2 linked regions of the Stegostoma tigrinum genome follow. The protein of the gene in region 1 interacts with the protein of each later gene in a pairwise test. Links are inferred from orthologs where the notes say so. Each region holds a gene or a part of one and is shown on either strand. Other genes may lie near its edges.

Region 1 (7,241 bases):
TTTGTCAGCTTCTTTCTAACCACTGAAGAGACCTGCTTTAGTAGTGACTAGATTTCACCTTGACTGCTTTCTCTGATTACATAGTAAACATGTAAATTTACTCTGTGTTGCTGTGTCGCATACAATGTCACTGAGGGGTTGAATCAGAAACTTACTTGATTATACAGCTGAAGTGTTTGCATTGGCTGCATGATGGATAAATAAGATAGTTGCAGGGTTATGTAAATAGTATATCCTATTCTATATAATGCTTCCAATTGCATGCTTATCTGATGTGAAGTATTTTCTAAATGGATGCAAATATAAATCAAGGTTTTTGGTTATTGCTTGAAACTATTGATGTCATATTTCCAGATAGATGTGTGCTTTATTCAAATATACCTCCACCTAGAACAGTGAATTATGCAAATGGTTGACACTTTTGCCTTCTCCACTCCATCTATACGTTCTCCCCCAATCATCAGCTCTACTTGAAATTGAAGAGCAAATTTTAATCTTGACACTGCTGTGTAACAAGAGCACTAGAATGCATTGAGGAGCCAGTCTTGGTTATCTCCCCTTTAAATGAAATAATGAGCCTTTGGCTATATCCAGGTATAAGTTACAAGGATGCATTCCACAAACTGCAATTGTATTCTGTTGAGTTTAGAAGGTTTAAGGGAGATTTGATAAAAAGTTTGCACAGTACTAAGGGGAACTTGTAGGATAAATAAAAATGAATTCTTTTCATTGGCTGGGTGTCTAGTTCCAGGGGAATATAAATTAGAACCTGACCTTTAAGAAAAGAAGTTAGGAAACACTTCCACAGGAAAAAGGTTGATAGAAGTTTGGAATTGCAAACTGTAATTAATACTAGATCAATTGTAAGCTTTAAATCCGAGATTAGTAGATATTTGTTTTTCAAGGGATACAGGACAAAGGTGGGTTTATGGAATTAGGCCATAGATCAGTCATGATGATACTTTATGAGTTTAATGGAACTTTAGCTAAAATCAACAAGTTTATAATTATTGAGTTATAGCCCTATAAAACTGTTTTAGTATAGGATTCCTTGTTAGCTGATTCCATTATAACAATATTCTAGCACTGCAATCTTGTAAAAGATCCACACTTCTAGTCAGGAAATCTGTATCATTGGGAAAAAAATTACATAAAATTAGACAGTAGAATTAAGTGAGGTCAATGAACATTGAAGTTTGAAAAGTTGTAAGAAGATAAAACACAGTTAAAAATGTATGTACCAGATTGCAATCAGACCATATTTAGTCTTTAGAATTTGATGCTACGCAAATTTAGCATTTTGGAGACTTGTAAATACCCAGAATTCTTAGCACACACTGAAGGTGGAGATGAGTGTGGGCTCTTGCATTATGGAAAGTGTGCAGCTGCTCCACCTGCCATTTGTGTTGGTGTGAACTTAAGCCTTTGGAGGCTTGGGATTTATTAGCAAACTGCTAGGCAGCTACAGATGCCCAGAGAGATCCCATTGCACCTTGTTTGTTCTTGGAGTTAGAAGTTATCCAGATCTAATGTTGATCTAGATGGAAAGTCAGGCAGGAAGAAGTCCAATGGAGTGCACAGTAAGGGGAGTGGGGGGATAGAAAGGTAGCGAGAAGTTGTAGTGACCAAATACACCAGCAGTGAGAGATTTTTTTCAAGAACCAGAGGGGCATTGTTGATCCTCTTGGACTTATGTAAAAAAAACAAGCTTATCTTAACTGTTTATTGAGCAACCATCAATAATTCATTTGAGAACTGCTAGTTAACCAGGTTTGGTGCATGATTCTCTAAGCAATATATGGAAAATTGTTTATAATTTTAATTTGTATATTTAGCAACCTACATCTGTTCCAGGGGATTGATAGCCCACTCATCCACACATTTGTGTTGAAGTTGCAATGCGCAAGTTTATAGCATTAATGCGCAGGTTAAGGTGAAACTTCTGACAAACTTATATATACCCCTAACCCTTGCAAAAAATTCACCCTCTCTCACTCCAACCTGACAATCATACCAAACCACCAGTCTCCAGCAGCCCACCATCTTCAATGTTTTCAGCTGCTGCCATCTGCCCTTTCTGTGGCAGGCAGTTGAAAATTATCCCAAAAATAGTCAAATTCAAGTGCACTTTAAGGTAAAGCAGGAATTAAGGACAGGGAGTAATGTTGAGTTTCATGAAGTTGAACCATATTTTCATATATTACTTTAAATTTAGTTGTTATCTAGCAGAGTTGTTCTAAAATTTTGCAATTTGAAAAGCAGGGCATGATTTTTTAAATATATAATCTTCCCTTAGCAGTACAAGCTGTCTGTAATTGCAAAGTTGAAATGGTGTGACAGCATGGTAACCATACAGAAATTGTTTTAAAAACACAGTACCATGACAAAAGCATGAAATATTTGAACTCAAGAATTGTTTATAGAATACTCCGATATAATGATGTGAAAATAAGGACTGGATATGTGGTTTAAAAATGGGAACTGATTTACAGCTGCATATAATCGCACACTGCCCTCTAAACCAGATTCATCTGAAATATAAACACAGAAATTGATGGTAAACATCAGTTGTTCTGAGGAAGGGTCACTGGAACCGACACGTTAACTCAGATTTTTCTTCACAGATGCTACCAGACCTACCGAGTAAAATTGCTGGAAGAGCTCATCAGGTCTGACAGTGTCTGTTGAGAAAACTCAGAATTAACTCTTCGGGTTCGGTGATCCTTCTTCGGACCTGCTGAGCTTTTCCAGCAATTTCTGTTTTTGTTTCTGATTCTAGAATCCGTAGATCTTTTGGTTCGCATTTGAAATATTCAGTCCTCATTCCCAGTGTGCAGTGTATTGTTAATTTTTTAATCGTTCCATAGCCTATTACTGTGTAAGATGTCTATGTATGTATATTAAAAGTTAACTTGTTATTAATACGGGGAATTGTCTGCATTTTTACGACACCTTGGTAAAGGGTTCGCGGATGGCATGACGCCTTGACAGGAGCGATACCATGAGTTACTTAGGAGTGGAATAAGAATATTATATTGTACTAAGATTCTTGTCATGAAGCAGTTGAAACAAATGAAGGCGTCTTTTAGGTATCGCGCGTGTGGTCTGGAGTCTTTACATTTACCACAGTTTCAGCTCACAGAGGTCCTGCGTGCAAAGAAGGTATTGTCTGGAGAATATCACCACGAGACTTTCCCCCAACAAAAATCTAGTCCGGACCCCGAGCAAATTGTAGTCTGGGTGGGGGTGGTGTTGGTGGAGGTGAGAGCGGGGGTGGTTGTAATAGATATAATCTGTTTCTCAACACATATAACTATTTCCAATAATTAATTAACGTTCACCGTGAATACTTCTTGTGTCACTTAACAAGCGAGGAGAGCTGTAAACAGAATAAATCTATGTAATCAAGTCTGGAAAAGCCGATATAATACCTGTTAAACATCTGGATACAATTTTCTAGTAAAACGAAATGAAAACACACGTGGGCCGCTTTGATGTGCATTTCAGCACTAACATTGTTGATGTGTTGACGCTTTTACCAAACCTAGGACTTAAAATGAAGTAGATCTTGATAAAAATTGGGGAGCGGGGAGCGATGTGGAGGGGCGGCATAAGTACCTACCAAATAAATTCCAATTTATTTAATTAATGCTTCGTATATAACAAGACCTAAAATTATGATTACATTGGCTTCAAGGAAACCGTTTTGTTCAAAGTTGCTTTCGACAATCATAACAGCCCGACAAAATGCACTGCAACAAAACCGAGATGTGAAGCTTCTCTACATTGTTATAATTAGTTAACATTCCTGCTCTGGTTCTTTTAGTTGTGGGTGGGACAAAGGCTCGTCTGTCTGTGTTTTTTCCCCTGTCAGTGTTTGGAACCCACGTTACTTTGAGTGACAGCTGAGCCCGCCACCGCCCTATTGTCTCTCTCTGACTGACTGACGGACGGCCACTCGTTTGATTCGAACCGTTTCAGTTTAGCCCGCGCGGGTGGTGGGGGCAATGCGAAGGCGGGGTGAAAGAATTAGACCAATCAGAAAGAGACAAACGGACACAATACTGCCCTTAATTGGTCTGAGGGCGAAGCCGTCAGCGTGATTGATGTGCAATAGTATCCAATGGAAAAAGAGTCCAATGGCAGGCCGTCTTGCGATTGCTGGGTTCAGTCTCCGCTCAGCTTGACTGACAGCTGGCCTCCTGCGGTCACCACCTTCCATTGGGCAACACTCCGTGATGACGACATAACCCCACGTGTGACAGAGGTCGCTTTCCGGATCCTGATTGGCGTAGAATGGAACGGAACGTAGCCTCAGACTGCGCGTGTCTAAATTTGGTGAGCGATCTCTCGAGGGGGGGTGGGGGGAAGCGAAGAAACCGCGTGTTAATGTAACCAGTCTGTGTGGGGGAAACTGCTACATTGTTTTCCACTGTAGCAATTATACCCGCTTAAACTTCGCACGGTATACCTTTTATATTTATTCTATTGGATATACTGCAATCGAAAAAAAGAGAAGTCGAGAAGATTTCCTGGGGCGGCTTAGGAATTTGTTCTTGTTACAGAAGTGGCAATTGCTGTTTTCCGAAAGGTTTTGTTGTCCTAAAGATCGACAGGAGTTGAATCGGGACAGCGGAATCTGCCAGCCTCCCTGAGGGCTTTAAAGCCTCTTAAAACACCACCTTTTTGGGGATCCGAACCCAGGATGCGCTTGCAGTAAACACTTTATTTTTCTTTTAGAGGGGATTGTTATTAATGTGCGTTTCTTAAAGAAGATCGAGCGATTGTTTGAGCAACGGAACTGAGCTTCTGGCGGACCCAAGCAATGTTTCCTCAGAGCAGGCATCCTGTAAGTAAAGAGAAAGCAGCTCTCCTGGCCAACCGCTTTGTTACTTCATTGTGTGATCTTTATTCAAGGAAAGGAAAACACCTTCAGCGGACTAATGTATAGTTGCACTACCAGCAACGTGTCGTGTGATGTATTTTGTAAGCGGAAAACTACTTCTAGCCGGTTCCCAAAAATCTGCGTGCACATCAGTTCATTACTATGTTTTGAACCAATGTCATCTCAATAACTGTCCCCCTGAAAGTTGGGCAGGAAGATCACTGATTCTACTGAGCTTACTTGGACCAACAAAAGGTCCGGTGTTTAATTCTGTCAGAGGACCTTGCCCTCTTTCAGTGTCATGTGTTTGTGTTCGTCGCTTTCTTCTGTCGGAAAGTTTCTGATATAAATCTGCCTAGGCTGCGCGTTGATTCGTTCGCGATCTGTTATCTCTGTGTACTTGTAATTCTTGTTTCCTTACCTACTGTTTTCTCAGACGCCGCACCAGGCTGCAGCCCAGCCTTTCAAATTTACCATCCCCGAATCGTTGGACCGTATTAAAGAAGAGTTCCAGTTTTTACAGGCTCAGTATCACAGGTGAAAGAAGTCTCCCATTCTCTGCCGGGGAAAAGTATGTTTATTTGCTGCTGGTTAGTCCAGGCTCCAGTGTTATTTGGTTTGTCTGCGGTAGGTAGCCAGTGGTTACTTTGCCTCACCAGAGAGCGGCGCTCTCGCTGCGGCCAGATTTTGTTTCCTTTCAAAAGATTGCAACAAACCACACATTGAGGAAACCAGGAGCCTGAGTGATCTAAACCCTCTGAACTGTTTTTTTTGACACTCATGAATTACATCGTTGAAAATCGTAAATTACATGAGCTGATTTCGATTGCGTATAATTCGGTTTAAGTCAATACTTTATCCATTTAGAACAATTGAGTTTATTTGCTTTATGTATCTTGATGTTTACAGTTGAATTTTAATATCCGGTCCATTACAAGGGGTCGAGTTGTCCTTTTGATTTATCCAGTACTTCCGCTTTTGCCATTACTGCAGTCTCTTATGTAGGTACTCTATTTAAGATGCTTTCTTGTTGCTTCAAGAAGTTCCTATGTTGACATTCTCGGGGTTGTTAGGGATCGGTAACAAGCACTGGACCTTGTAACGACAGTTACATCTTGTGAAAGATTTTTTTTAAATTTTGTGTTTTATAGTCTAAAATTGGAATGTGAGAAATTGGCAAGTGAAAAGACAGAAATGCAGCGACACTATGTTATGGTGAGTTTAAACAATTATTTTGTAAAATTAGAAGTAGCGTGGTATTAGTTTGTGACGTTATCCAATCTGACCTGGGGAGTAGACTACTGAAAACTCACTCTTCAGTTTCATCAAAAGATCACTATCACTTGGTTTATCATTTTTTTTTCCTTTACAGTATTATGAAATGTCTTATGGATTGAATATTGAGATGCACAAACAGGTAAGCTCATTTTTATAGAAACATTTTTTTTGGGCATGGTAAAGTAGAAGTAGCAAAACATTTCCCATCAACAAATCTAATCTGAAGGAAGAAAATAACTTAACCATTTTGGATCAGGTCATTAATTAGAACTTGGAATGTTTACCTTTTCTTTCAGATGTTGGTTAGAGCTGCTACATTTTCTTAATAGCAAGTATTTCATTTCAAATTTCACTTTTTAATGTTGTATGGTGGATTAGGGTTACAGGAAAACAAATGTATTTACAACATAATGTTAAAATCCAAATGTTATTGTATGGCTGGAAAGTTGGCATGATCATCACGGCTTGATAAACAGAATTTATTATTCTAGAAGGTTTTATGTATTGTCCACAGAGCATGGTGTAGTGTAAGTAATGCTCTTATATACACAAAGATCTAATTTAAGGTGAACTGATGCTGCTGCTTGGCTCTGCATGTGGAGTTTATGGGGATGGGAGAAATAAAAGCTCTTTGAGGTTTAAAGCAACGGTCATAAGTTACTGCATTGTATATTTGTGATAACTGAAGCTGCTGTTGTACATGAGGCGTAGATACTCAATTGATGAACTGAAATGAGGCAAAACTATTTTTGAGAATATTAAAATAACAAACAAAGCACAAGGAAGGTGGACAATGTGCGCAAAGCAAATCTCAAGTGATTGATGTATTAAATGGCGCTTTGACTCTGGTTGTTTGCCAAGAAAGCATTAATTGTGGGATGCAAGCTACCCAAGAGAAGTAGTGACTTTGTGATTTCTAATCCTCAAGATTCGATTGATAGTAAGTCCTTAAGACATTGATTTACTTCTTAAAAGGTCACTATTAAATTATCTCCTCAGCTGATGCATGCTTGCCCAAAAAAATGGGAATGTGTTTCAACTTGGCTTTTGCTTTGATTGATATAATGCTGTAAAATTT
Region 2 (7,516 bases), on another chromosome or scaffold:
CTCTATCTGCATTGTAGGGATGATTCTACAAAAAAATGAGAAAGACTGATTTACCTCGATTGCCCAACATGGGACTTTGAAGCTCTGTTTCAGATGTTGCCCCTGCGGGGTCTTTAGTTGCACTCTATGTAGGAATGCAAATTCTATGCTTGGTGGATTCCACAATGTAAGGGAGTCACAAAAGTGCAAATGGTTGTGACCAACACCTCGCCTTTCCTTCACTGACAGCACCAGCCTTTCCAGGCATCTGCTTACTGCGCTTGTCATATATCTTTTCCCCAGGGTAGGGGAATTCAAAACAGCAGAGGTTTCAGGGGAGAGAGGAAAAGATTTAAAAGAGACCTGAGGGGCAACTTTTTCACGCAGAGAATGGTGCCTATCTGGAATGAGCTGTCAGAGGAAGTGGTACATGCAAATACAGTGACAACATTGAAAAGACATTTGGACAAGTAAACAAACAGGAAACGTGTATAGGAATATGGGCCAAACACAGACAAATGGGGCTAGTTCAGTTTGTGAGACTTGGCATGGACAGGTTGGACCAGACGGTCTGTTTCTGTGCTGTATGACTCTATGACTCATTATTACACTTCTAGCAGTTGCAACTGAACGCAGTTCTTCACGAAGAATTCTATTTTGTAGGAGGAAGCCCTAACATGCCTACCACAAGCATCCTGAAGCCTGCTAATTCGACACAGTATAATCTTCATATAAAAATAGAGGATGCAAGGACAAGTTAATGAGCATGTTAAAATTAAATACATCAGCCCTTGGTTTTATTAATACACACTTTGTAAGAAAACTATGCTGAACCTTTGAACTGAACTAAATCATTGCATCCATCTCTGCACATCACACTTCAGAAAGGATGTCAAAGCCTTGACGAAGGTACATGTAAAGTTTGAAATCTCTGAATAGTGTTCACTCACAGGTGCTGGTCTGTACAGGTGTAAGAAGGACCTCTCAGAGTTTAATTTTAATTTTGATCTCATTCTCTGTGCACCTTCTCTGCAACTGTTAACATTCCATTCCCTGCTCTGTTTTATTGCCCTAATGTCCTTTGTATGAGCTGTACTGCGCACAAAACAAAACTTTTCGTTGTACCTAGGTACATTGCAACAATAAATCAAATCAAATCAAAGAAGAAGGGAGAAAACACTGCAGTAGCTGTCAAGCATTCGTTGTTCAATTCTGGTTTAACTGAAGCGGAGTCTGAGTTTCAAGAACTTGCGCTTGGCTGACAACATCACAGGACAAACAAAAAAAAATTAGATCAGATTAAAGGGACCTCAATTTTCTAAAGGAACTAAAGATGCTGAGTTCATTCCACTTGGCATCAAGAAGGCTCAGGTGAAATCTAATAGGGATGTTCAAAATGCGGTGTCTCAATGATCAGCACTGCTGCCTCACAGCGCCATGAACCTGGGTTCAATTCCACCCTCTGGTGAGTGTCTGCGTGCACATTCTCCCCGCGTCTGCGTGGGTTTCCTTCTGGTGCTCCGGTTTCCTCCCACAGTCCAGGCTCGGCGGATTGCTAAATTGCCCGTAGTGTCCGGGGATGCGCTGGTTAGGTGGATTAGCCATGGGAAATGCAAGGTTAGAGGCTAGAGGGGTGAGTATGGGTGGGATGCTGTTCGGAGAAGGGGTGTAGACATGAGGGGGCCGAATGGTCTGTTTCCACACTGTGTGGATTCTACGTAAACTGTTGTGAATAAACAGTTTCCAGCAACTAACGCACGAATACGAAATAGTAGGCTATAGAATATGCAGCAAGTTGCCTCGGTGGGGTACGCTCTGCATGAAAATGTGGTGAAGACTTGTTTCAATTGTAACATCAAAAAAAACATTGACTTACACATTTCTAAACGGGAAGACCTGCCATGCTCTGTGTAAAGATTAAGGGGATTGAAACTGACTGTAGAGCTGAAATATAGGCCAAATGGTTTCCATATGCAGGCGAAACAAACAAAAACTGATCCGCTACACTTTCCGGAGGTAGGAAACGGGGATGTTCACAATGTTCAAACACCTACTGAAAAGGAAGATTCCCATCGAATTAACAGTGTTTGGTGTAATAGGTGAGAAAAGTTGGTCAGAACTGGCTGTGGTGTAATTACCACCAGGGGGAGCCCTTGTCCAACTTTTTTATTCTGTTTATCGTGGCAAACTCATTCATATCATTACAGTACAAATCATTCAAATCGCGGTCCGTGTACTCTGTCATGAAACAGAAGCCCTCTGGTTTGGTACGGCTGTGGTGACTTTATTTTTAGAACATTTTGAAATCAAGACTTTTTTTCTCTATTTCATTGGCTAATTCGCTGCACTAGAAGAAAAAAATGCTTCAATATTGAAACCAGCGCTGTTCTTACCTGGGCTGTGAGTCACTATCAGGTGTCGCGTTTTTTTTGTTGCAGGAGGGGACGAGCCGCTAACACTTTCTTTTTAAAAATAAAGTTTGTGTAACACTCCCCTTCGGAAAGTAAATGCAAACAAGGTCAACTTTTACAGCTTTGAGCGCTGTGAGCCAGACGAGGTGTTTTTCAGTAAACATTTGCTCTGGGGAAGTCTCTGCTTGCTGCTGGAAAATCTAAGAACGGCCCACACGCTCGCTAGGGTGGGGGGGGGGGGAGAGAAAGAAAAACATTTATAAACGTTATGGATTAACAGCGAAAGTTCCAAAATACCAGCGCTGTTTGCATGAGCTGGAGGCACCCATTAGATGTGATCAGAGGGGCTCAAATCTGTTTCTTCCTAATGGACCAAGCTGCCCCTTCAAATAATGGGCCGCATTGCTGAGAAGCTGCAGGAGAGATTGAATTATACCTCCTTTCCATTAATATTTCATACAGCCACGAGATTACTGTTTATTTATTATGGGTTTGTTTTTCAGTAATAGTTTCATAACGTGTTTGCTTTTATTTTTCTGTAGCTGCGTGGACTTGTTGTTACTCTACTAGATACCCCTTGTGATTTTGATGGGGACACAGTGGGCAGAATTCCCTGAAACAATTACCAGACCCCATCAGTAGTGGGGCTTGTAATCTGCTGCCGGATTAAAATATACCTCAGACAACCTGATTTATGTCCCACATTCAGTGGTCTCCTGAATGGAAATCGAAAAGGCCCTCACACTTCCACTGTGGTCCCTCTCCTTCGTCAGGTGAAACACAGAATGCAGCCTCGCAGTATCAATGTTGTAGTGCTCGTATTCCGCTTACAGCTAGTCTCGCATTAGAAGCTGTTTTCACTGCACAGTCTTAATGTACTGCAGGGGTTATTGAAACTCCATAACATTTCCACCAACTCCCCCCAAACCACTCATTTCCTCACCCCCAGAATGACTAAACGAAAACATTTCTCGATAAGGAGTGTCATTTTCTCATGAATGTTAAGTCCACCAGTGATGCAGGAATCACAAAGTGGGTCGGTTTCAGCTGCATTTAAACTCGGCTCAAAAACAAAAGATGCTTTGAAAAAAGACATTTGTCCTGAAAAAAGGAATTTCGAGGTGCTTCAAGCGCCTATTTGTACATATACAAACGCTGACTAATGGTAGGAAACTGAGTTGTGTTTTGAAGAAATGAACAGAATAATATGGTGTGTGTGTGTGTTTGTGCACGTATGTGTGTCCGCGCAGGTGTGTCTGACACGCCGTTTTACTAAAATTATTACCATCTCCCGTGTCTTTAGCAACGATCAATTGTAAACCACGGATCTTTCTGAATTTCTCGAAGGAGCCATGCACCTTTTCCGGGCAGTTCAGTATTCGCAAGTTTGGCGGCGCCAGTGAAAAGGCGCATGCTGTCTCCTCTATCCTCAAGACAATTAAAACTGAGCCAAGGGTAGAGTGTTACCCTCATGAAGGCGGGTTAATATTATATCGATTTCCATTATATACCCCCTGGGAAAAAAAGTATGCTTGTTTTTCTTACAATAATGGTCGCAGGAAGGAGTTCTTTGGGACTATGTTAAACATACAACCGAGTCAGCTTGCACCCCATAATCACGCCCCGAGGCCTCCCTTCGAGATACGGATGGAGCCCAGCTTTGATTTTCAGAGGAAAGCAGCCGGTCATTTTTTAGCAACTAGCTTATTTATGTGTGCAATACGCTGTGACAGTCCACGGTTTAAATTTATGTCCGGTGTAAGAGCTCTGGGTGAGGAAGGGGTGAAGATGGGGGTGGCTGGAGAGACATAATGAAACGTGACAGATCTCAAACTCTTGTTCAATAAAGAAAACCAAATCTTAATTTGCCAATTTCCATTTACAAAATGACTCACGTTGCAGCGCGGACATTTCCAATGGACCAGGTTTTTCTTTTGGACTTTTTTTTCCCCCAAAGAAGTGAGGTAGAAATTCCCTCCATTCCACACGACCCCCTCCCCCTTCGAAATCTATAAATGGAACAAATCACACGTAGGTTTAATGAATTTGTTCAAAATTCTTCTCCCACCGCCCCCCCCCCCCCCCACGTTTTGATGCTGGTAGCAGGTGGGGGCCAAGCTGTGTGTTCTCACGGCTAGGTGTGAAATGATTATTCAAATAGGATTGCGAGGAAATTGGGGATTGGCGGTCTGACTGCTTATATCACCGTGCACCGCTGAGCCACTCACGTCACTCCAAACTACTGTCATCGCTAGGATCGCTGGTTCGCTGCAGTTTAGCATTAGGGCTGCAGAATCCAGCACTTCCCCCACCCTCAACTCCCCCACCCCTCCCCTCCACCCCCACCAACACATACACACACCCCCTCCGCCACCTCCCACACACAACACACCCCTCCCCAAAAAATAAGCCATTCCGCAATCGGACACGGGGGTAATCTATCGCCCACGATCAGCAGGAACTTTTTCTCTCTCTCTCTCTCGAGCCCTATAATGCACCCTACCTCCAGTATGCTAGGCGCAGTGAAAATGGAAGGACACGACCACACAGACTGGAGTTCCTACTATGCAGAGTCCGAGGTAAGCTTTCGGCGCTTTTTTTTTTGGTTTTTTTAAAGCAATCCTCTTTATGTACAAGATAATATTAGCCTTAAGATAATATTAACTTTGTGATCAAATATTGACTTGCGCGGCTCCAATTCCTCCTCGATTTGTACCTCAACAGTCTTTAAACAATGTTGTATTTGGCTAAAATAAAGTTTCTGTTGTACATTTACATACTTCGAAAGCGCTGGAGACCTAACTTATTTAGCTCCCTTTTACTTTGAGCTGATCGTTAAACTCAAACCTTATTTATTCGAAAGTCAGATGTTGAGTGAGTTTTGGCTACGCCACGGTTTTATTAAATGCCTTTTGACAGGTCCGCTTTAATGCAGCTGTTTTTGTTACAATTTTTTTACGTCCTTTATCGCCTTTAATTTAGTTCAACCGTTTCATTATTTTCCTTTCAAATCGTTACTGCAGGAAAATTCGTTGAATTTTTTTCAGGCAGAATTAACGATCGAGTTTGATAGTTAAAATGCAATTCAATAGACTTTTTTCTCTTTTGTATACAATAATAAAAACCCAATTATCAATTTTTTTAAAAAGTGAGATTTTGCTTCTCAGGAGTGAGTGGGACGCATTGTGAGTGATGCCAACATGGAAGTGAATGCCTTGTTACTGTCTGCTTTTACGATTAGCTCAGGCGCTTAAGGGCAGTTCGTTTCTCAAAACAAAGGTGACCGTCTGCTTTTCTTGTTTCCTGCCCTAGGGTTACCCCTCAGTAAGCAATATGAATGGGGGGATTGGAATGAATGGCATGAACACCTACATGACTATGTCCGCGATGGGCACCACGGCCAACATGACAGCAGGGTCCATGAACATGTCTTACGTTGGCACCGGCATGAGCCCGGCTATGACTGGCATGTCCCCCGGAGCAGGGGCAATGAATGGCATGGGAGCAGGCATGACGGGCATGGGCAGCGCCTTGAGCCCCAGCATGAGTCCGATGAGCGCCCAGGCGACTTCCATGAACGCCCTGACCTCGTACACCAACATGAGCATGAGTCCGCTCTACGGCCAATCCAACCTGAACAGGTCCAGGGATCCCAAGACCTACCGCCGCAGTTATACCCACGCCAAGCCTCCTTACTCCTACATCTCCCTTATCACCATGGCCATTCAGCAGTCTCCCAACAAGATGCTGACTCTCAGTGAGATCTACCAGTGGATCATGGATCTGTTCCCTTTTTACCGCCAGAACCAGCAACGTTGGCAGAACTCCATCCGCCACTCGCTCTCCTTCAATGACTGTTTCCTGAAGGTGCCCAGATCCCCAGACAAACCGGGCAAAGGCTCGTTCTGGACCTTGCACCCTGACTCGGGGAATATGTTCGAGAACGGCTGCTACCTGCGGCGCCAGAAGCGCTTCAAGTGCGAGAAGAAGCAGGCGCTAAAGAATTCGCAGCAAGACCCCGGCCGCAAGGCGTCCGAGAGCTGCTCCGCCGGCAGCGGCACCGATACCAGCGCCGGGAACGAGTCACCGCAGTCCGGCGGGTCTCCCGGCGGCGGAGGCGGAGGAGGAGGAGGCGAGCCCAAGAGACCGCTGGCTGACCTCAAGTCCCGGAGCTCCACCCTGAGCCCGGAGCACGGTAACGGAGCGGTGAGCCAGGCGCCTCCGCCACCGCCTCACCTCATGCACCAGCATCACCCGGTGCTGTCCCACCTGCCGTCGCAAGGTCAGGAGCACCTGAAACCCGAGCACCACTACTCGTTCAACCACCCGTTCTCAATCAACAACTTGATGTCTTCCGAACAGCAACATCACAAAATGGACTTGAAGGCGTATGACCAAGTAATGCATTACTCTAACTATAGCTCCCCTATGTCCGCCAACCTCCCCATGACCTCCAAAGGGGTCTTAGATCCATCGTCCATCGCCAACGACACGTCTTACTACCAAGGTGTGTATTCCAGACCAATCATGAACTCATCTTAAACCTATCCCCCTCTCACAATCGGACTGGGTCAACTCTGTACATTTTTGTAAGAATTATTAATTAAGGGAGGGAGGGAGGGAGGGTGTGTGGGGGCGAATCTTATGCGCAGGCAATTGGAATTTTTTTTGTTTTGTTGATGTTTTCAAACTGTTAGCTGTTCAGCGATTCCTCTTCACGGTTGTTTTTGGACTGTATATTGCGCGCCGTTTCAAATGTCTTCTGTTTGGTTTGGCTGCTTCAGAATACAACGAGGCGTTTAATATAACGACGTTTCTGTACTGTGCACAGTTCTCTTGTCGATTTCTCTCTTTGAGGACGAATTCTTATTTAAAAAAAGAACATCCCCCTTCCCTATACGTTTCAAATTTCGAAAGTGTTACTCGCATATAACATCAAAACAAAAACCCTATCGGCAAATAATTTATAGTTTTTTTGTCCGTTTATTTATAATTGGGGGGCACCCTTTAATGCGATCGGTTTGTCTCCCCCTCAGAATCTTGTATTAACCCGAAGTCTTCAATGTTCAATGTATACACCGATTTCTGTCTGATCCTGTCCCCTCCGAGAACTACGAAAAGGGCAG

What was found.
Region 2: the proteins of transducin-like enhancer protein 1 (region 1) and foxa2 interact in a two-hybrid assay, tested with the Homo sapiens proteins (2 studies listed by BioGRID and IntAct). The link is inferred for Stegostoma tigrinum from reciprocal best matches to the Homo sapiens genes TLE1 and FOXA2.

Annotation. Positions count from the first base shown.
Region 1 is NC_081356.1:61,834,763-61,842,003, forward strand, and holds the start of transducin-like enhancer protein 1, read left to right. Parts: upstream 1-4,231; 5' UTR 4,232-4,338; intron 4,339-4,367; exon of another isoform or gene 4,368-4,740; 5' UTR 4,741-4,825; coding exon 4,826-4,849; intron 4,850-5,321; coding exon 5,322-5,422; intron 5,423-6,036; coding exon 6,037-6,100; intron 6,101-6,257; coding exon 6,258-6,302; intron 6,303-7,241. UniProt on the Homo sapiens protein: Transcriptional corepressor that binds to a number of transcription factors. Inhibits NF-kappa-B-regulated gene expression. Inhibits the transcriptional activation mediated by FOXA2, and by CTNNB1 and TCF family members in Wnt signaling.
Region 2 is NC_081362.1:11,946,332-11,953,847, forward strand, and holds foxa2 (forkhead box protein A2), read left to right. Parts: upstream 1-4,739; 5' UTR 4,740-4,882; coding exon 4,883-4,969; exon of another isoform or gene 4,970-4,981; intron 4,982-5,702; coding exon 5,703-6,932; 3' UTR 6,933-6,997; downstream 6,998-7,516. UniProt on the Homo sapiens protein: Transcription factor that is involved in embryonic development, establishment of tissue-specific gene expression and regulation of gene expression in differentiated tissues.